Ovis aries: one gene and its partners. The protein of the gene in region 1 interacts with the protein of each later gene in a pairwise test. Links are inferred from orthologs where the notes say so. Each region holds a gene or a part of one and is shown in the gene's direction. Other genes may lie near its edges. The genes, in order: DCP1A, RITA1 and PNRC2.

Region 1 (7,199 bases):
ATAAATAAATGCTTTGAAAAGAAAAAGGATAGATACATGTATGTGTATAGCTGAATCGCTTTGTTGTACACGTTGTTGTCCTGTTGAAACTAACAGGACATTGGTTTTTGTTGGGTTTTTATGGTTGGTTTTTTTTTTCAATTTAACTTAAATTTAAAATTTTGGCTGCTCTGGGTCTCCGTTGCAGCGCGTGGGCTTTCTCTAGTTGCAGTGTGCAGGCTTAGTTGCCTGGAGGCATGTGGGATCTTATTTCCAGACAAGGAGTCAAACCTGCATCCCCTGCATTGGAAGGTGGATTTCTAACCACTGAGCAACCAGGGAAGTCCCCTAACACAACATTATCAACTATACTCCAATATAAAATAAAAAGTTAAGGAAAAGAAAGCAAGAAGGTAGTGGGAGATGTAAGGCTCTCTCTCCAATACGAAGAAAGGCAGGCACAGCATGGAGAAAAGGACCCTGGCGCGGCCTAGTCCCTGGATTCTAACACCAGATCCCCCTGACTAGTGTGGAACAACGAGCCAGTGACGTCTCCACCCAGCTTCAATTAAGCAACCATCAAATGAGGATGAGCATATCACTACCACTTAGACTGTGATATGAATGGGAGTCTTTTCCTGTCCTTCCCGATGAACTCATACTTATTCCTGAAACACTAATTCAAACATCATCTCCTCCATCAAGCCTTCCAATACTCTTTTGACAGATGAAGTTCCTGGCTCCATCCCCTAGGTGTCAAGTGAGACATCTCTAGCGTTGCCCCTACTTCTTTCAGTTTCTCCCAGAACCAGAAAATTGTCTTAGACTTTGAAGCTTCCCAAGGGACTCAGTGCAGTTCAGTCACTCAGTTGTGTCTGACTCTTTGCAACCACATGGACTGAAGCACCCCAGGCTTCCTTGACCATCACCAACTCCCTAGAGATTACTTAAACTCATGTTCATGGAGTTGGTGATGCCATCCAACCATCTCATCCTCTCATCTCATCCCCTTCTCCTCCTGCCTTCAATCTTTCCCAGGATCAGGGTCTTTTCCAATGAGTCAGTTCTTTGCATCCTAAGCGGATACCTGTTCAAAGCAGGAGGTCAATAAATATTTGCTATGGAGAAGGGCAACCTGACTTCCCTCTTAAGAAATCAGTATGCAGGTCAGGAAGCAACAGTTAGAACTGGACATGGAACAACAGACTGGTTCCAAATAGAAAAAGGAGTATGTCAAGGCTGTATATTGTCACCCTGCTTATTTAACTTCTATGCAGAGTACATCAAGAAAAACGCTGGGCTGGAGGAATCACAAGCTGGAATCAAGATTGCCGGGAGACATCAATAACCTCAGATATGCAGATGATACCACCCTTACGGCAGAAAGTGAAGAACTAAGAAGCCTCTTGATGAAAGTGAAAGAGGAGAGGGGAAAAAGTTGGCTTAAAGCTCAACATTCAGAAAACTAAGATCATAGCATCTGGTCCCATCATTTCATTGCAAATAGATGGGGAAACAGTGGCTGACTTTATGTTTCTGGGCTCCAAAATCACTGTAGATGGTGATTGCAGCCATGAAATTAAAAGATGCTTACTCCTTAGAGGGAAAGTTATGACCAAACTAGACAGCATATTAAAAAGCAGAGACATTACTTTGTCAACAAAGGTCTGTTTAGTTTTCCAGTAGTCATGTATCAATGTGAGAGTTGAACTATAGAGAAAGCTGAGTGCCGAAGAATTGATACTTTTGAAATGAGAAGTCTCTTGAGAGTCCCTTGGACTGCAAGGAGATCCAACCAGTCTATCCTGGGGGAGATCATTCCTGAGTGTTCATTGGAAGGACTGATGTTGAAGCTGAAACTCCAACACTTTGGCCACCTGTTGCAAAGAGCTGACTCATTTGAAAAGACCCTGATGCTAGAAAAGACTGAGGGCAGGAGGAGAAGGGGAGGACAGAGGATGAGATGGTTGGATGGCATCACGGACTCAATGGACATGAGTTTGGGTAAACTCTCGAAGCTGGTGATGGACACGAAGGCCTGGCGTGCTTCTGTTCATGGGCACAGAATTGTACACGACTGAGCGACTGAACTGAACTGATGGAGAAGGGAATGGCAATCCACTCCAGTATTCTTGCCTGGAGAATGCAATGGACAGACCAGCCTGGTGGGCTATAGTCCATGGGATTACAAAGAGTCAGATACGGCTGAGCTACTAACAAAAATACTTGCTAAAGAAACAGTAAATGAATATGTTTCCTTTTCTGCATTTGTACATGTAACGTGATTCTGCCAACAATGTAAAACATTAAGTATCTTTCCGATAACGACCTCGGGATGTAAAATCATAAACAATACAACTATTAGAGTCAATAGTATTTTTCAGTCAAAAAAAATTCAACCTGCACCCCGTGCACTGGAAGGGTGGAGTCAACCACTGGGCCGCCACAGACACCTCTCGGTTATCTTTTCAGTATAAGAAAAGGTTTTTTATAACAAATCGGGGGAGGGGCGGGGGAAGGGGCAGAGCTCCCTTTATCTTCCACACCTTGTTTTACTCTTTAGCTAGTAACTGGCTCTTTTAAAATGCCTTAAAATATTAAGCAGATGTTTGCTAAAAGGATGAGTTACCGTTTTAAAGCTTTAAATGATGCACGGCAAACAACTTTTCAAGGGTTCTTTCCAAAACTGGATAAAGATTTTCGTGGGATTCAGAGGAAGAAAATAAGTTGACAATAAAAGACATTTCTGTGTAATTACAGACAGGCTAGTCTGGCTTTTTCAAAAACTTCCTTTATAAAAACACAAATAGATCTGAGATCTGGGGTACTTTCCGAGGTACCCCACCCCCACCCCGTTTCTCCCCGCTTTTCTGTTTTCTAAATCGCCCCTGGAGCCCTGCCTTGACGCAGCTAGGTTTCCAGTCTGCGGCCACGGGAAACTAATCCGGCAGGAACGGTGAGAAAGCTCCAGAGCAGCCTTGTTCAGAGCGCCGGTACCTTTCAGCCCGCGGAAAAGAAGAACCTGCGCCCAGGCCTTTCTGCTCCGCCACGCGGCGGCGGACCCCACCTCGAACCTTAGTCCACTGGGACCTGACGACACCGGAACCCGGTGCCCCGGGCGTAGGTTCAGCGGAGCATAATAGCTGCAGTACCGCCCGGCCGCGAGGCCCGGTGGAGAGGCGGAAATTGAGGGCGCTGACGCAGCTGGGGGAACTTTGCCTCCATGGCACCTTCCTGTCCTCGACTCCGCCCCGCCAGAGGGGCTCGGCTCCAGAATTCAAGATGGAGTCGCTGAGTCGAGCTGGGCAAGAGATGAGCCTAGCAGCCCTGAAGCAACACGACCCCTACATCACCAGCATCGCAGACCTCACGGGCCAGGTCGCACTGTACACCTTCTGCCCCAAGGCCAACCAGTGGGTGAGTGCAGCCAGGTGGCTGAAGTCGCTCTCCCGGCCGCCGTCTCTTAAAGGGGCCGCGCCGACCGACCTGGGTAGGGGGCGATGCGGGAGGCCACGGTGGCGGAGGCGAGGCCAGGGACTGGAGGAGAGCCTGGCCGGCGCCTGAGAGGTGTCGGCGCCGCTGGGGATTGGGTGAGAGGAGAGAGGGAAGTAGGTCCAAACATCCGGGGGGAACGCTGATAGAGGGGAGGGTTGAAGAAGGATTAGTCCCCAGGGGTCCAGTTCGAGGATGTGGGCGACCTGCCTTCTTTGCAGGTGTGTTGGAGGATTTGAGACCGATGGAGTCAGAAAGACGCCTGTAAGATTGTCTGAAGCTTTGAGAGTTGTTAGATAAATTATGTATACATAATCTATAAAGTAAACACTCCTCTCCCCCCAACAGATAGATAAATCAGAACCCCCTTCGCAGAGGTTATTAGGATTTAAAGCTTGAATTCCAATTAGTTTCAGTTCTTGGAAAGGCGAGAGGGTGGGGATACGTCCCGCATTTATCAAACTACACTGTGTTTCCAGAGTTTGGAAAAGATTTCAAGGCACTTAGGAAAAGGGCTTGCATGTTAATTTTGTTACCTTGAAACCTTTGGACAAGAGACCTCGTGTTTTCAGCTATGCTGCTGGTGATGTCACCTCTGAATACGCGCATCAGACTTAAGTACTTTTTGCCTTTTTTTGCACGAGAGAGGTTGCGAAAAGTTACATTCAGTTAGTTCACTGATTTGTTAGCCGCTTTGAAGCTTCGGTTGTTGTTTACATGTCAGAATTTCGAGACTTCCCTGGCGATCCAGTGGTTAGAACTCCCCGCTTCAACTGCAGGGGGCAAGAGTTCGATCCTTAGTCGGAGAACTAAGATCTAACAAGCCACGCAAGTGGCTAAATAAAATATAAATAAACGTAACATCATTTCCCTTAAAAATATGAATCTTCTTGATTAACTCATTTAGCTATATAGGCTTTATTTTAAAAATAGTCTGTAAATGTTTGTTGGATTGAATTAATAAATGATTCACATTCACGTTTCAATAAGAATTGAAGTCCTTGTACTAACAAAACAAAGATTATTATCATAATATATTCTTTACAACATAATGCAGATACATGGGTTATATTTAATCATTAATTTTGTGAAAAATCATTTCGCATTTATAAACAGTTAAATCAGATGCAGAGGGTTTTCAGAGTCATCTTGCTTTACTTTGTATCGTCTTTCCTTCACCTCCTGGAATAGGAGGAGGTATGGCAAGCCACACAGAACAAAATTATAGATTTTTTCTTTTAAGTGTGACTGTTTTAGTAGATATTGCTTTAGTTTAAATTGTTTTGGACCATTTTTCTTTTCTTGCTGTGCATATACATTTTTGGAGTGTGGATTGCAGACAAATGGTGAATATTTGGGGCATGGGCTTATTACTATAAGCTTTTATTTCTAGTTTGTCACAGACTTCCAATATTTTGGAATTTTAATTGTGCCATTCTTCTTTAAATACAAGCTGAATGAAATACAAGCTGAAATAACCTGAATTGAAAACTAAGCTGCCGTTATTCATTTGTATCATGGCAGTGATTTGTAACTTTACACAGTTGTTTATTTGGGTAAATTTTCTTTCATTGTGAAGCAATTGATTACCAATTTATTATATTAATAAAGTTTGAAAGGCAAGAAATACATAAGGAAAAATTCCATGATAATGTTTAAGTTAGAAATCAAGATGGTAAATATCTTTTAAAGTTCTTTTTTTCATCCCACCAAATTCAATTCTATATGACTAACATTTAAGTTTGTTAATAGTTTGCTGACTGCATTAAACTGTTTAGATCCTATCTGGCCTGTGAATTGTAGACTAATTTAAAAAAAAAAACAAAACATTTTAACGGTTTAAAACCTAAATACACTCTTGTCACAGCAAATGAAAGATGATGAGTTGTACTTTTTTAATCAAAACGTTTACTTTAAGCGAAAAAAAAGTTTTAAATTATTTGTAAGACCTATACAAATTATACTAAGTAGAATTTCAGTACTCATGATTCTTCAACAAAGGTCTAAGAGTAACAAACTAATTGTGTTTGACAGTAGTTCTTAACTAACTACAAAATTTGCTACTCAGGAAAATATGCCGGAATCTCCCAAATGATGAAACAGTGTCCTGTAAGATAAAATTTCTTTTTTTTCTCCTACTAACTTTGATAAACTTTAAAGGTGAAGTAATGACTGTATACAGACTTTGGCTTTAAAATTAAGAAATTTGGCTAAAACATTTTAGTTTTAAAAAATGAAAGCTAATTCTAGATTTTTTTCTCCTTTAAATTTTAAAAAAGAAAAGAAAAGTTACTGTAGATACAGGCATGTTGCTGGATAGAACATTGCATATCAATTAACATGCATCAATAGACTAAAAAGGATACAAAAGAAACTGGTAACAGTAGTTTGTAGAGAGAAGCTTGACCTGTTCAGAGTAATTAATTTTAAAATAAATAAGTTAATCTTAAACATGACGTCTCCACTGGGACAACTTGGGGTTAGATTATGGGGGAAAAAACTAATTGACTCATTGTCTGTTACAGGAGAAGACCGATATAGAAGGGACCTTATTTGTATATCGAAGGTAAGCTTTTTAAAAACTTATTATTTTTTTAATTTGATGGTGAACATTGTCATGTAGAGTGATTCAGCCCTATTGTATTGTCTTTGGAACTTCCTGCTTGACCCTTCCAAGTATTCATCCATCTCTTGCTGTGAAATCTTAACCAAGTAATGTCCCTTCTTTGATAGTTCCTATGATTCAGAATCAAACAGAACTTATTTAGGAACCTAGCAAAATAGAAAACATTTTGTAGTAATGAATGAATCTAAAACAGATGCCTTTTTCCTTTTCCCCATATTAGGAAAACAGATACGTAACTGAGAAAAATATAATACAGGAGCTAACTATTCTGTGATTACTGAACTAAAAGGTTATCTTCTAAGACTCTGGTTCTTTCCCCATTCCAGCTACCCAAAAGTTTTGAGTTGTGTACAGTGTCTAGTAATAGGTATTTTTAGTTTGAGAGTCCTTTAGAAAGCCTGGACTACTCATAACTGCACATTTTTAACTTTCAACTTTTCTGAGAATTAATTGTCGTAAACATGATTGGTTTGTGAATTGCAGGTTTGGTTTTGTTTGGCAACTTTCTTGGCCTAAAGGCAATTGACAAGGGTATGTTAGTCATTGAAGTTTCTTGTTTTCCTGGATCCCTCTTAACTCTCACTCTGATTGAGATAGATGCCTTTTCTTGTTTTTTAAAGCTTAGGAAACTCAGCAGGATTACTGATACCTGGTTCTTTTCGTGTGTGTGTGTGTGTGTGTGTGTGTGTGTGTGGTAAATTATTTATGGATTGTAACAAGAATTTGTCAAATATTCTTCTAAATTGTCTTGTGTACCTTTGAGATCTTGTCTAAAAAACACTGATTTTTTTCTTCCTTTTAAGTGCTTTTATGTTACTCTTTCTTGTTGACATTTTGTTCCCTGTTACTCATCTTTCTCCTTTTTAAAAAAAAAAGACCTTTATCTTTTACCTGGTAATATTCATTACCAATATAAATCTCTAGAAGCTCTTCAACTGTTATTAGAACCTTGGTACTTGGGAAGCACTTTCCTGGCTTTATTGTAACAGTGTAGATTCACCAATTACAGAAAATGAAATTTAGTTTAGTGACTGACTTGATTTAATAAAATTTTTGGAAGCTTCCACTTGTATTGATTCCAATAAAAGGAGACCAGAGAGAC
Region 2 (7,145 bases), on another chromosome or scaffold:
ATAAAAGCTCTTTATAGATTAAGGTTATTAGCTCTTTGTCCCACAGTTGCAAATACATTCCAATATAACATTTACTTTAACTTAGCTTACAGTGTTTTTTGGCTTTTACACATGTCTAATTACCATTCAACCCCCAGATATCTTTGCCTGTTCCTGCAACAGCATCACCCAAAGTCTTGCCCTAACTGTTCTCTCATTCTGTCAGGCCCGCTGCCCACATAAGGCCGTGACTGGCTTGGAGATTATCTGCTGCCTCCATCCACCCAAGCCTACCACGGTGCAGAGTCTGGAACAGATCATGGAGGCCATGATGACCCCCTGTGGCTCCCCCCACCCAAGTTCCCAGATGCCTGGCTCACCCACCCATGGATTGGAAGCCTCCTGATTTCTTCTTCTTCTTGTTCTGAGCTCGCACCATCTCCCGTGTGTCTGGCTCCACGTCTGAGGTGCATTCCGAGGTGGGGAAAGTGGGTAGGGGTCTACCAGGTCCCAGCTGGGAGGGAGCAACAGAGAGGCAGCATCACTCCAGGTACAGTCAGACCACTGGGGGCAGGGAAGGAGGCTGTCCTGCTGCCAGGCCCCTCCAACTTGCCCTCATTCAAGGTGCTGATGCTCCTGTGAGATCACGTGACTTCTCTGCTAAAGGGCTCTCCTTTGACTGGACGAAGACAGGGCAGCGGGTCTGAGAGTAGGCTCTGCAGACAGACTGCCTGTGTTTCAGTCTCATCTCTGTCACTTGCAGCTGTGAGACCTCAGGCCTGGGACTTCCTCGCCCACAGCCTGTGTTCCCCAATCACGAAAACGGGGATGAAAAGAGCATATGCCTTACAGGGTGCTGGGAAGACCAAATGGGTATGTGTAAATCTTAGGACAGTGCCCAGATGGTGGCACCACCATCATTATCATCCAGACCAGTTATTCAGAGCCCTCAAAACTTTGGGAAGCCAATCGAAACATCTATTATGAATGAGGTACCAGACTTTTCCAGTCTGTCTTGCACCCGTCTCCCTCAGCCCCTTTCTGATCCATCACCCCTCCCCAGATCTGGTCTCTCTCATTCCTGGCTTCCTCTCTCTGCCACCCACTTGTTCTAGCACAATTAAAGCATACCCGGACACCTCCTCTGGGGAGCCTTCTTGGACTACAGCACTGTCTTCTTCCTCTCAGAAATAACATTTATAAAAATACTAACTCATAATAATGGCTAAAACTTATATGGCACTTACTATAAGCCAGGTGCTGTGCTGAGCGTTCATGTAAATTAATTCACTCCTCACAACAACACTGTCAAGCAGCTATTATTATTTAGCCTCTTTTACAGAGAAGGAAACTGACACACAGAGAGGTGAAGTGACCTGGCAAAGTCACACAGCCAGTAAGGGATATGAACCCTGGCCTCAGAGTCTATATTCCTTCCTATGTGCCCCTCTGCGGTCCAACACAACCCTCTAGGTCAGAGCTGCACCTGTCTTGTACAGTCCCCGAGATGAGAATGGTTTTTAAATCTTAAAAGATTGTAGCAAAATCAAAGAAGACAGTTGTATGACCTTATATGACCCTGCAAAGCCTAAACTAGTTACCATTTGGTCCTTTACAGGGAAAGTTTGCCAACCTACCCCTGCTCCAGACACATGATAACAAAGTGCCTTTTAACACACTGGTGCCCCAGCAACATTTACTGACGAGCAGAATGTCTGAACACTGTCATTCCTCCTTTCCACAGTGTTTGAGGCATACAGACTCAACTACTTTCTGCATGTGCAGAAGCTGAGGCACACACAGAGAGATTAAGCAATTTCTCCCATGTGTACTCCCCCACAGCCAGTACAAGGTGTTGAACACATGGCTGTGCCTTGGTCCCTAGTTATAGAGAACCTTCTGTGTGAGGCTCGGTTGAGATGGAATAAGGTCCCCATCTGGTCCCTACTTCTGAGGAGCAGAGAGGGCTCTCTTCATATAAACCCCCACTCATTCATCTATTATACCCAGAGTCTTCTCTGTGCCAGACACCCGCTAAGCACAAGGTTGTGAGAAACAACAGGCTATAGCTCTTTTGCTCCACTGGGGCTCACACCTGTTCCCCCTCCCCCCGCCCCCCCCCCATTTGCATACACTCAGCACTCAGTAGTGGAAATAGCACAGGGTCTGGAACCATACAGTCCTGGATTTGAATCCTGGCTCTCCCACTCACAAGCTATGAGGTTTTGGTAAAGTTCCTTCACCCCTCCAGGCTTCTGTTTCCTTCTCTGGAAAATGAGGATAAGCACTCAGCTCGCAGGGTTGATGTGGTGATTAAATGATAAGGCTTATAAAGGCTTTTAGCACGGAGCCTGCACACAGTAAGTGATCAATAGACGCGAGTTTAACTTATTATTAGTTTCCCAGAGGTTTGGGGGCGTCGCTGTCTCAAAGCCACGAGGTGCAGCCTTCTCCTAATTTGTCTGCCGAAGAACCCCCAAACTCTCAAAAGTCCAATGTTCAGCACCCGCACTTTTCATTGGGCGAATGGAAACCAGGACCCGCCCTCGATGGCCAGGAAGAAGCCAATGAGAAGCGCTAGACCAAGCGTCAGCCAGGAAGGCCCGCAGGCCCCGAGCTTACCCAACACAGAGGCTTCGGGAGTCTAGACCCCAGGTGTGGAGGGTCCTGGGACACGTGCTCAGGCCGGAGGTCCTGCCTTGATCCCCCGGCCAGCCGATCTCTCCCCATCCTCAGCCGTGCCCGCTCCCCAGCTGGGGGAACTGCCGGGCACCGCGCGGAGCTCGGGTTCCGACGTGTATCCCAGCCCTGCGCTCCCTACCTTCTGGGCCCGGGCGTCATCTTCTGCCTGGATCTCAAACTCGCCGTCCTCCGAGTCGCTGCTGCGGGACTGGGACGCCGCACCCCGGCGCTTCCGGAGCCCCTTCTTCTTCTTCCACTGGGCCATGGTAGCTCCGGACCGCGGGGCGGCCGCCGGGCGCGTGCCGGCAGCCATGCGGGCCCCGGCGCCGGGAAATGGGAGGGGGCGGAGCCCATAGGGACATACCAACAGCGCGGCGGGGGCACGGGGGACGCCTCCACGCGGCCCCGGCTGCGTTCCTGCTCCTTCTGCTGCCTCCAGGGGCTTGATCCACATGCACACACACACACTCCCCTCGCTGGCGCGGAAGGTACCCCTTCCGAAGCTTTGGGGAACTCCGGGGGGCGTCCGGAATCGGGGGCCTTAACTCACCCCCGAGGAGTAAATGGTTCCGGCCGCCCCGCCCCATCCTGTCACTCACGGGTTGCTGTTTGACGCGCGTCCGCGCGCGCGGAACACACGTCGCTAGGGCCCGGCTGCCAGCTCTGAGTCGTTCCGCCCCGTACCCCGGTCTGGGGTTGGAGCTGGGGGCGGCCTTGGAACTTCCCGGAGTCGCGGGCTCCCGGGATTCAGAGCTGCCGATTCGGATGTCCGGCGCGCGCCTCCGATGCCCGAGCGCCCCACAAAGGAGTCCAGGCCTGGGAGCAGGGGACGCTGACGGTAACGACCGACGTCAGCGAACCAAGATGCTCAGGTAGGAAAATAACTCGATAATGCGGGCACATCGGACATCTCCGGGACGTGGACTTGGGGATCAGTGAATGAGGGGCAGCTGGAGGACTGGGTGTGATCCCCTAGTAGGGGAATGGTTAAGTGCAGGAGCTTTAGACCCTTAATCAGGTTCAAATTCAATTTCCACTGTTTTAGCTTTATAGGTGTGACTGACACTTGCAACTTCACCTTTTGAAGCCTTAGTTTTGTCATCTATAGAATGAACATAATGGAAGCTACCTCACAGGAGTGTTGAGAGGATGAAATGAGACAATGCTTGTAAAGCTCTTTGCAGGAGGTAGGCTTGGGATCGATCAATGCTGGTTATTATTTCTGCCCGATAAATATGTACAAGATATAGAAACCTGCCCTGTTTCCCCCATTCCTCATCAGCATAGTTGATTTTCTGTGTGGTGCCAGAATAGGCAGAGGCCCAAATCTCTTGTTCATTCCCCTAGTGTTCTATAAATATTGACTGAACACACACCAGTATGCTAGGAATGCGCATTTACTCATTAAATATTCATCTGTAGCACCCCTGTCCCCGTGATTTCTGTGTGCTCACTCACTCAGTCGTGCCTAACTCTGCGAATCCATGGACTGTAGCCCGCCAGGTTCCTCTGTCCATGGGGATTCTCCAGGCAAAAATACTGGAGTGGGTTGCCATGTCCTCCTCCAGGGGATCTTCCCAACTCAGGGATCAAACCCAGGTCTCCCACATTGCAGGTGGATTCTTTACCATCTGAGCCACCAGGGACGCCCACCCCTTCATTACAACAACTCAAAAAATGTCAAATTTCTGAAATGTTCCCTGGGATTGGCAGCTCCCCTTTGAGGAAGACTGGTTGAGGGAGAATGTGACCTTTTTGCCCTGGGGATGGGCCCTTAAAGTGATTGCCAGTCTTTTCTGATGACAGATGGTTGCTACCCTGACCCCTTTTCACAGGGAGCCCTGGATGTAGGGCCTGGCAAGCAGAGCACCCCTGCTGTCACTCAGGACAACAGAGAGCATGAAGACCCCGGTGGAGATGGCCATCAGCGGGATGCAGACCCTCCACGTTCAGCACCGTGGCCGGAGTGGCTACCGGGTCAAGGTTAGGCCATCATACGTGGATGAGACTTTGTTTGGCAGCCCTGCAGGCACCCGGCCCGCACCACCAGACTTTGACCCACCGTGGATGAAGAAGGCCAACAGACCCAGAGGAGTGGGGACAGGGGTGTCTCAGGCCTTGGGGGCCAATGGGAGCTGTGAGTCCACCTCCTCCAGTGGCAGCACCCCAACCCTCACACCAAGGAAGAAGAACAAATACAGGTAATAGGATAGGAAGATTCCCTGCCATTCATCTGCTGTGTGACCTTGGGCGAGCAATTTGACCTCTCTGAGCCCGTTTCCTCACAGTGGAAGGTGGGACCCAGTGGGATTATTGAGAAGACTTAAGGGGATGAGACATGTACAGTGGTTGGCACAGTTACCCGACACTCAGGAATAAATAAATGGTAATGGCATTAGACTGGACTTCTGAGGCCCAGAGGGGTGAGGTGATTTGTCCAACAGAGAGAGAGAGTGTTGGTCGCTCAGTTGTGTCCAACTCTTTGCTACCCCATATACTGTAGCCTGCCAGGCTTCTCTGTCTGTGGAGTTTTCCAGGCAGGAATAGTGGAATGGGTTGCCATTTCCTTCTCCAGGGGATCTTTCCAAACCAGGTATTGAACCTGGCTCTGCTGTACTGCAGGAGGATTCTTTACCTTCTGAGCCACCAGGGAAGCCCTTGATTTATCCAAAGTCACAGAACAGTTTGCATAAGATTATTAGTGTGGTTGATCCATCAAATGACATAGATATGGTGATTCCAAACTGAAGCAAGTCATTTTGAAAATGGTTCTTGCTTCATTTTCACCAACAAGTTAGAAAAATGGAATCTAATGCCAGTGGTTATTTTTGTAGGGATTATTTAGACTATTTCAATGAATTTCAGCCTCGAGGGAGGCCACAGGACTCTATCTTATTGATTGTCATCAGTGTCTTGAACAGAGATATGGAAGACTAATATATTAGTCAATCAGGTTTGTTATATATAACAAAATACTATAGACTTAAACAGCATAAGTTTGATTTTCCACAGTTATGGAGGCTTAAAGTCCAAGGTCAAGATGCCAGCAGGGTTGGTTTCTCCTGAAGCCTGTCCTTGGGTTGCAGATGGCCAGCTATTCCCTGGGTCCTCACATGGACTTTTCTCTGAGTGTGTACACTCTTGGTGCCTCTTCCTCTTCTTATAAGGACACAAATCCTATTGGATTAGAGCCTCACCTTTGTGGCCTCGCTTGTGTGTGTGTTAGTCATTCAGTCGTGTCCAGCTCTTTGCGACCCCATGGACTGTAGCCTGCCCGGCTCCTCTGTCCATGGAATTCTCCAGGCAAGAGGACTGGAGTGGGTTGCTATTCCCTCCTCCAGGGGATCTTCCTGACCCAGGGATCAAACCCAAGTCTCCTGCATTGCAGGCAGATTCTTTACCACTGAGTCACCAGGGAAGCCCATGGCCTCATTTAACCTTAATTTAATTCAACACAAATCTTGGGAGGAAGCAATTCAGTCCTTAATAACTAGCCAGTCCTATTTGGGATCTATTCTGAGCCAAAAGGCACATCACTAATTGAGAGTGGGAATAGTGCCTATTTAAGGAGATAAAATTGAACAGAGATAAAAGCAAGGCCCCATTATTGTCATGTCTACTTGACAGTTCCCATGGAGCACAGGGCAGGCTCAGGTTGACATAGCAGCACTGACATCTACAACGTGGCTGAAAGTGCTGAGTTCACTGTAGGCTGCATTAACAGAAGTCCATGACAGGAAGGCAACAGTCAACCTCATGCTCTCCTGGAGGTTGGAACTTTGTGCTGGATGCTGACAGGTAGAGGCTGTCAAGTTAGAAGGTACATAAGAGGTAGAGATGCTATTAAGCAGAAACTTTGGAACCAGACAGACGTAGGTATCAACCAGATCTGGGTTTGAACAGCCAAATCAAGTGGCCAAAATGTTGACTTTTCAAAGACTTGAAGTTTGGGAATGGGGAGCACTTTTAGTTCTGGCTGAAAGTCATGGACCTCACACCTCATAGATATGCCATGAACATTTGTGAGATTAATTTAAAAAAAAATGCTGAATGAATCTAGTTAAAAGTGAGAGGCCTTGAAGGCATTTAAGTCTGGCTTAGTGATCAGGAACTTGAGCCCTTGAGTGGGGGCCTGGATTTGAATCTTATCTATACCTTCCTTGTTATCCTCCCTGTGCCTCTGTTTTCTTGTCTATAAAATGGGATTATCATATTGCCGTCCTGTGGGTTTTGTGAGAAATAATGAGATAACACAGGTGACAAGCTGAGTCCTGGGCCTATACATGAAAAACCCTGAGTAAATATTCAAAAATTTTAAAAGCTACTCTGGTGGTATGGCCAGGTCACAGCACCCTCTACATGCCGGGTTCTTGGCTGTGCAGTTTCAGAAACAGTTAGAAGGGCCACATGACTGCAGACGGTTCGGCTGACAGGGCCACTAGGAAAAGGGTGAAGTGGTGAGTTAAAAGAAAAAGTGAACGCTC
Region 3 (7,472 bases), on another chromosome or scaffold:
AGCTGGGAGTGCTGAAGAATTGATGCTTTTGAACTGTGGTGTTGGAGAAGACTCTTGAGAGTCCCTTGGACAGCAAGGAGGTCAAACCAGTCAATCCTAAAGGAAATCAGCCCTGAGTATTCATTTGAAGGACTGATGCTGGAGCTGAAACTCCAATACTTTGGCCACCTGATGTGAAGAACTGACTCATTGGAAAAGACCCTGATGCTGGGAAAGATTGAAGGCAAAAAGAGAAGAGGACAACAGAGGATAAGATGGTTAGATAGCATCATGGACTGAATGGACTTGAATTTGAGAAAACTCCAGGAGATAGTAAAGGACAGGGAAACCTGTCCATGGGGAGGTTGGGGTCCTGCATGGGCTGCAGTCCATGGGGTCACAAAGAGTTGGACACAACTGAGCGATTGAATAACAACAATATTGGATGTCCTGAAGAGAATGTGTTTTCAACTCCTGCTTCCAGTTCTGGGCTGTTGTGAGTACTTGGTAAATTATTAATGAAGGATGAGGCTGGAGCTGTACTGTGAGACTCCTGGGAGCCTGGGACATGGAGTAGGCTTTAACAGTGCTCTTTGGAGGGCCCTGGGGAGGACACAGAGGTGAGTCAGACACAGATGCTGCAGGGAACATGGAGTGGGCTTTGGAGCCGTAGTTTGTGTCTTTCAGCTTTAAACTGTTCTAAGCCTCAGATTCTTTATCTGTACAGTGGAGATCAAAGAAGGGGATCTTCTCAACCCAGGGATTGAACTCAGGTCTCCCGCATTGCAGGTGGATTCTTTACCAGCTGAGCTATCAGGGAAGCCCAAAATATCACCTACTCTATATTAATGTTTTGTCAACAAAACAGCTTAGCACAGGGCAGAGGGAGGCAGAATAGTATCCAATACATCATGTGTGTGTACACAAGCATCAAACACATTCAGTAGAGTTCAGTTGCTCAGTCACGTCTGACTCTGTGACCCCATTGACTGCAGCATGCTAGGCTTCCCTCTCCATCACCAACTCCCGGAGCTTGCTCAGACTCATGTCCATCAAGTCAGTGATGCTATCCAACCATCTCAGCCTCTGTCATCCCTCTCTTCCTGCCTTCAATCTTTCCCAGCATCAGAGTCTTTTCCATTGAGTCAGTTCTTCGAATCAGGTGGCCAAAGTATTGGCGTTTTAGCTTCAGCATCAGTCCTTCCAGTGAATATTCAGGACTGATTTCCTTTAGGATTGACTGGTTTGATCTCCTTGCTGTCCAAGGGACTCTCAAGAGTCTTCTCCAACACCATAGTTCAAAAGCATCAGTTCTTCGGCAATTCAGCTTTCTTTATAGTCGAACTCTCACATCCATACATGACTACTGGAAAAACCATAGCTTTGACTAGATGGACCTTTGTTGGCAAGGTAATGTCTCTGCTTTTTAATATGCTGTCTAAGTTGGTCATAGCTTTTCTTCTAAGCAGCAAGCTTCTTTTAAATTTCAGGGCTGCAGTCACCATCTGCATGATTTTGGAACCCCCCCAAATAAAGTCTCTCGAATACATTACAGGTGTGTTTATACAGATAAGGTCTGGAGGCTGATTTAATTTTATATTACAACTTGGGGCCAATACAGGTTTGTTTTTTTTTTTTAAGTAACACAATCAGATCCATGAGGGCAGAATGGAGGGAGAAGTAGGATTGTAGCAGGGATGAATTTAAAAGATATTTGGATGGTGATAATACAAAAAGAATTAGAAAAAGAAAGTGCTCAGACTAAAACAAGACTGTTCATTTTACAAAAAGTGTAAGTCACTCAGTCCTCTTTGGGACCCCATGGACTGTATAGTCCATGGACTTCTCCAGGCCAGAATCCTGGAGTGGGTAGCCTATTCCTTCTCCAGCAGTCCTTCCCAACCCAGGGATTGAATCCAGGTCTTCCGCATTGCAGGCAGATTCTTTACAAACTGAACCCCCAGGGAAGCCCAAACCACTATATTAAAAAAAATATTGCAATGGTCTTTTTAAAATACTGCTTAGCTGTAATCTAGCCGCATGTCTAAGTCAGTTTCTTAAGTTTTTAGGTAACAGATTACACTTTCAGTGAGGTAGCAGTTCCTTATTATATACATCTTATTTGACTATAATGCTTAGCAGCTGAAAGTCCCACGCTCAGAAATATCTCTTCTACTCTACACATTTCACCAAATTAATTTGATTAACAAACTCTTTTAAAATGGTTTTCTTAAGAAACTTAAGGTCCATGGGTAGAACAACATAGGAGTGGGGGATGATGGTAGCAGAAAAACTCAAGATTAAAAAACGAATTATGTGGGACTTACACAAAGTACACGTAAATCTTGTAACAAAAATGTTAATATGTTTGTAGAAACTGGTGTTCTCCTTTACAACGCCAGCTTTGGGTTGCTTATCCATTTACTCCAAAGAAGCTGCCCTTCTTCTCTTCCTGGCGCCTTGGTGGCACAATCAACCCCCTTTCACTTACAGACGGAGCCGAAAGGGGGAAATGAGAGAGCTCCATTTTCTCAAACTTTTCTCGGGCACTTAGCATGTGCACTTAGCCTGTGCTCTGGGCTCAAACGAGTGACTGGGTGGACAAGTAGCTACACTACAGTGTGACTCAAGTTCAGGACAAAAGAGGAACTGATTAACTCGATCCGCACAAGTGTCGGAAACGTCTTCACAGAGGAGACCACTTCTCAAGAATTTCGAGGCTGCGGGCAGGGAGGACAGGAGGGAACCACAAGCTGGGGGAGGGGCAAAGCAATTTCCTTGACAGGGGAACACAGTGTCAGGACCAAGTGGCCAAGGGTCGGCCTCGGGAAGCAACTTGGTGGAGCATCTTGCATCGTAAGAGACTGGTTACACGGCTAGGTGAACTTAACTCGGGAACTCAAAGCCCCCTTCGGTGACGCCCCACGGCAGGGAACCATCGGGTTCCAAGGGCCGCGGGACCCGCGAACCGGGCAGCCCCGGTGTAAGCCGCGATCCGGGGGAGCCGCTCACGTCCCTTCCCCGGCGCCGGACGCGCGCGCGGCTCGGAGTCGCCGTGAGGGGTTGGCGCTGACTGCGTCCTTGGGTACCGAGCCTGGCCGGGCGGGCGCCTCCCGGGAGAGGACAGTGTCACCCGGGCGCCCGCAGAGGGCCGGCCACCGGGACCGCGGCGGTTATTCCCGACATGCTCCTCTCGGGGAGGATTTCAAACCTTCGGCCACAGCCAACTCCCCTCCCTCGGCCCCGTCGGGCCCCAGCAACAGGCGGTGGCCCGCGTATCATTGGCCGGGTCGCGCGAAAGCGTGTTTTGATTGGCCGCAGCGCCTCCCGGCCCCGCTTCAGCGCTCGCCGCCGCCTCCATTTTGTCGGTAGAGACAGGAGGAGGAGGTCGGTTGAGACGTTGAGGTGGCCAGCCGCTCGCTCGTCGGTGCTCGTGGGCTTCGCCCGTTCCGTGCCTCGTCTCTCCCTGGAAGGGGAGGGGGGCTTCGAAGCCGAGCAGAAGCCGCCGCCGCCGCAGTCCCGGGCTTGAAGTCGGTGAGTGGCGGCGGCGCGACGGGTGCGGCCATGTTGGCGGCGGCGCTCCCTATTGTTGGGGGAAGGAGGCGAGATCCGAGGCTGGGGGGGCGCGGGCGGCCCGGAGGAGCGGGTTCCCGGGCCGGGCTCGAGGGACGCGGAGCGCCTGGGAAGCCCAACCTCGTTGCGGAAGACCCGAACTTTCCGGGCTCGCTTTGGGAATGACTCAGGGTCTGGAAACTTAAATTTCTTTAGGGCGTTGAAACAGTCTGGAAGGGCCTCTCACCCTTTCGATAAGAGCTTCTTGCTTGGTAACTTGGCTTCTTGGACTATCAAGTGGAATCGCAGATGTTTAATGTTTATAATAGTGATTGTTTTATGTATTTAAGATGGGAAACTGCTTGTTATGGCTTGTGAAACTTATTTTAAAACGGGGAGGAGTCAAGAGTTCATAACCAAAGGAAGCGCTGCGTGACGTAAACATGTTGGGAGAGGAGGCTCTGCTAAAACAGATACGTGATGTGTCTAAAGATTGTAAAATTCTGGTGGGACTTTAAAACACGGTCTTTAGGAAACAAATTTCTTAGCACATTTCTTAGCATGACTGTAGAGGCTAACGTTTCCATGGTTTTACAACATTTTGGTCACTAAATCCATGTGAGACATTATTTTCTGCCTTTTTGTTAAGTAGCCATTCTTTAAATTTTTTCTGGAGTAAATATAAACGATCACTTTCTCTGTTTTTTTAATTGAAATAATGAAGAAATCGTTGCTTTTGTAGCTAAGACTTCTCTCAAACTTGTGTGCTGAGGAGACTCAGATGTTGGCCTCAGCTCCTAGGCTGAACTCAGCAGATCGGCCCATGAAAACTTCTGTATTGAGACAAAGGAAAGGATCTGTCAGAAAGCAACATCTATTATCCTGGGCGTGGCAGCAAGGAAGAGGACAGGTAGTGGAAATCCTGCAATCGGAAAAGCAGACTGAAAGGTATTAAAAACTTACGGTTGTAATGGGGCAGACATTTTATGATGGACTCATTCTAAACCAGGATCTTCCCTGGTGGCTCAGACGGTAAAGCGTCTGCCTACAATGCTGGAGACCTGGGTTCAATCCCTAGGTCGGGAAGGTCTCCTGGAGAAGGAAATGGCAACCCATTCCAGTATTCTAGCCTGGAAAATCCCATGGACGGAGCAACCTGGTTAGGCTACAGTCCATGGGGTCACAAAGAGTCAGACACGACTGAGCGACTTCACTCACTCATTCTAAACTAGAGCTTCCCAGGGGACTCCATGATAAAGAATCCACCCGCCAATGCAGGAGGCCCGGGTTAGATCCCTGGGTCAGGAAGATCGCCTGGTGGAGGGAATGGAAACCCACTCCAGTGTTCTTTGCTGGAGAATTCCATGGACCGACAAGCCTGGCAGGCTTTTCCCATGGGATTGGAAAAGGTCGGATATGACTGAGCATGCACACGGGCACATCCTAAACAAATTGTTTTTAAATGCAGTATTATTTAGATTTGTTGGTAGACTCATTTTTTTCTTAGGAAGGTAATAAAGGCTGTACAAGTGTGAACGTATAGTAAAGCTAAAGCAGCTGAATAGCACATACGTGAGTCTTCTTCGAGATATTTGGAGTTGCAAATTGGGGCCACTGAAGTTTTGTACTGGAATTTCACTCAGTATTTTGTTTCCACTCACAGGTGACAAAGAAGCTGAAGATGGGTGGTGGAGAGAGGTATAACATTCCAGCCCCTCAAACTAGAAATGTTAGTAAGAACCAACAACAGCTTAGTAGACAGAAGACCAAGGATCAGAATTCCCAGATGAAGATTGTTCACAAGAAAAAGGAAAGAGGACATACTTATAATTCGTCATCAGCTGCATGGCAGGCCATGCAAAATGGGGGGAAGAACAAAAATTTTCCAAACAATCAAAACTGGAACTCTAGCTTATCAAGTCCCACCTTACTTTTTAAGTCTCAAACTAATCAGAACTATGCCGGGGCCAAGTTTAGTGAGCCACCATCACCAAGTGTTCTTCCTAAACCACCAAGCCACTGGGTTCCTGTCTCCTTTAATCCTTCTGATAAAGAAATAATGACATTTCAACTTAAAACCTTACTTAAAGTACAGGTATAAAATGAGATAAAGTACTAACATTTAAGCTTAGTCATATTTAAGGATAACTGGCAATTGTTTCAGACCAAATTCACTAGGGAATTAATCTGTAAAACTGATTAACATAGAAAATATAATTAGACTTCATCTTGTTTTATGTGCACTGTGATGGTAGGAATCAGTACAGTTTAAAATAACTGAATTATGGATAATTGTATTTGATCTCTTCACTAGTATTCTCAATTGAGTAACCATATAAGTGAAACCATTCAAGTTTAGATTTGGGGAATGGTAAAGGAATCAACTTTTTATATTGCTTGTTGGGGGAAAATACTGGAGATTATCATTTCATGGGTCAGCAGATTGACTTATTAAGATATGGTAAATCTGATTATAATCATCCAGTTAAAGACATACAGGGGTTGAAAACTATTTGAATCTTTGAGACGTTATTGTCCTAGAGACACCTGAATCAGTACACCTAAACCAGTAGTATGACAACCTGATGCACTGCCTAAAGAAAATGTGAAAAAAAATTTTTTTAAGAGAATAGTATTTTAATGAACTGTATGGTGGTGAATGTGTAAAGGGCACTAGGGGCTATTTAGAATGAAACAAGTATACCCCATTGGCCCTGTTATGTGCAGTGGATAGTGTCTGCCAACAAATGCACCAAAACCATTTTTTTAGAAACAGTATTTGGTGTTCAGAGTAGCTTTCAAAATACATTTTTGTATGATGGCACTGCACAAGCTATTCTGACAGTGTTATGGCTTTAAATCATCCCTGCAAAGGTTTTTTAAAGTTGAGAGCTGTATAATGTGAAAGTTCTGCATACCTAGGAAAGAGCCATGTAAATATATGTAGTAAAATTGTAGCATATGTAAAGTTTTGTTGGCATTTATCCTACAAAAATAGAATATTTTAGTACGAATTTGCTGAATGTAAGACATGGACTCTTATACTATGGCCTAATTTTAAAGGTCAAAAAACACCCCACAAACAAACCTGTTTTTAAATTTTGCCCTTGTGCTTAAGTGCCAGTGTATGTATATTATAATTGATCTTGCTGTAAACTATATTTCAACGTAAATCCTAGTGTAAGAAGTTTTATATAACCGAAAAGGTTTTAAGCTGCTAAAACACTTGCTATTTTTGAGATGTGAAATGCAGTATGGGGTAATTTTTTTTCCTTAAACCCAAAGATTAACTATTAAGCAGTCCCTCCAACCTTAAAGATTCCTTTTGGCTTTCAACAACTTGTGTAACCTATGAGTATAGTGTACAATGTCAGTGTATTTTTTTTTCCTTGTCAACAGGTGCAACCCAGGGGACCAACTTATTGCAAAAGATGTAATTTCTTGCATAATACCTTGATAACATGTTTTGCTTACTTTAAACATGCTAATTAAAACAGCCAACCCAGTAGTAAAAGTAAAGTGTGTGTATTAGGGGGGGGGTTATTCTAATTTGGCAGCTTTTTTAATACTTTTAAGCAGAATCGCTAAATTGTTTCTCCGAATAAATTGAGGTGAGATAGTACTGTCCAAGTCAAATGATGATATCCTAAAAACAAGTTTTATATAGTACTTAATGTACATACATGAATTCGAAGCATGAAATTAAAAAATAAAGTTGTTTCTTCCCCACTGGCTTGTGTTTATTGTATAGAAGTTGTTATGACTACCTATTTGCATAATTAACCCCACTGAAATACAACAGAACTATTGGTTTTTAAGAAGCAACCCATTTGCTGACAAAGACTTTTGGATTAACAACTATACATTAAAAAGGCAAATGACTTCCTCTTTACAGCAGGGCTAACAGTAAAAGGCCACAGAATATTTAAGGAACTTAAATA

Evidence for each region.
Region 2: the proteins of DCP1A (region 1) and RITA1 interact in binary tests that used the Homo sapiens proteins (3 or more experiments, as listed by UniProt). The two-hybrid records come from large-scale screens. The link is inferred for Ovis aries from reciprocal best matches to the Homo sapiens genes DCP1A and RITA1.
Region 3: the proteins of DCP1A (region 1) and PNRC2 interact in binary tests that used the Homo sapiens proteins (3 or more experiments, as listed by UniProt). The link is inferred for Ovis aries from reciprocal best matches to the Homo sapiens genes DCP1A and PNRC2.

The regions. Positions count from the first base shown.
Region 1 is NC_056072.1:47,747,253-47,754,451, forward strand, and holds the start of DCP1A (mRNA-decapping enzyme 1A), read left to right. Parts: upstream 1-3,251; 5' UTR 3,252-3,261; coding exon 3,262-3,396; intron 3,397-5,996; coding exon 5,997-6,037; intron 6,038-7,199. UniProt on the Homo sapiens protein: Necessary for the degradation of mRNAs, both in normal mRNA turnover and in nonsense-mediated mRNA decay. Removes the 7-methyl guanine cap structure from mRNA molecules, yielding a 5'-phosphorylated mRNA fragment and 7m-GDP.
Region 2 is NC_056070.1:61,267,027-61,274,171, forward strand, and holds the start of RITA1 (RBPJ-interacting and tubulin-associated protein 1), read left to right. Parts: upstream 1-3,272; 5' UTR 3,273-3,533; intron 3,534-3,706; exon of another isoform or gene 3,707-3,848; intron 3,849-4,496; 5' UTR 4,497-4,560; coding exon 4,561-4,862; intron 4,863-7,145. Other genes in the region: ATP-dependent RNA helicase DDX54, read right to left, coding at 364-493, 2,801-2,974. UniProt on the Homo sapiens protein: Tubulin-binding protein that acts as a negative regulator of Notch signaling pathway.
Region 3 is NC_056055.1:242,691,844-242,699,315, reverse strand, and holds PNRC2 (proline-rich nuclear receptor coactivator 2), read left to right. Parts: upstream 1-3,343; 5' UTR 3,344-3,513; intron 3,514-4,273; 5' UTR 4,274-4,479; intron 4,480-5,194; 5' UTR 5,195-5,212; coding exon 5,213-5,632; 3' UTR 5,633-7,260; downstream 7,261-7,472. UniProt on the Homo sapiens protein: Involved in nonsense-mediated mRNA decay (NMD) by acting as a bridge between the mRNA decapping complex and the NMD machinery. May act by targeting the NMD machinery to the P-body and recruiting the decapping machinery to aberrant mRNAs.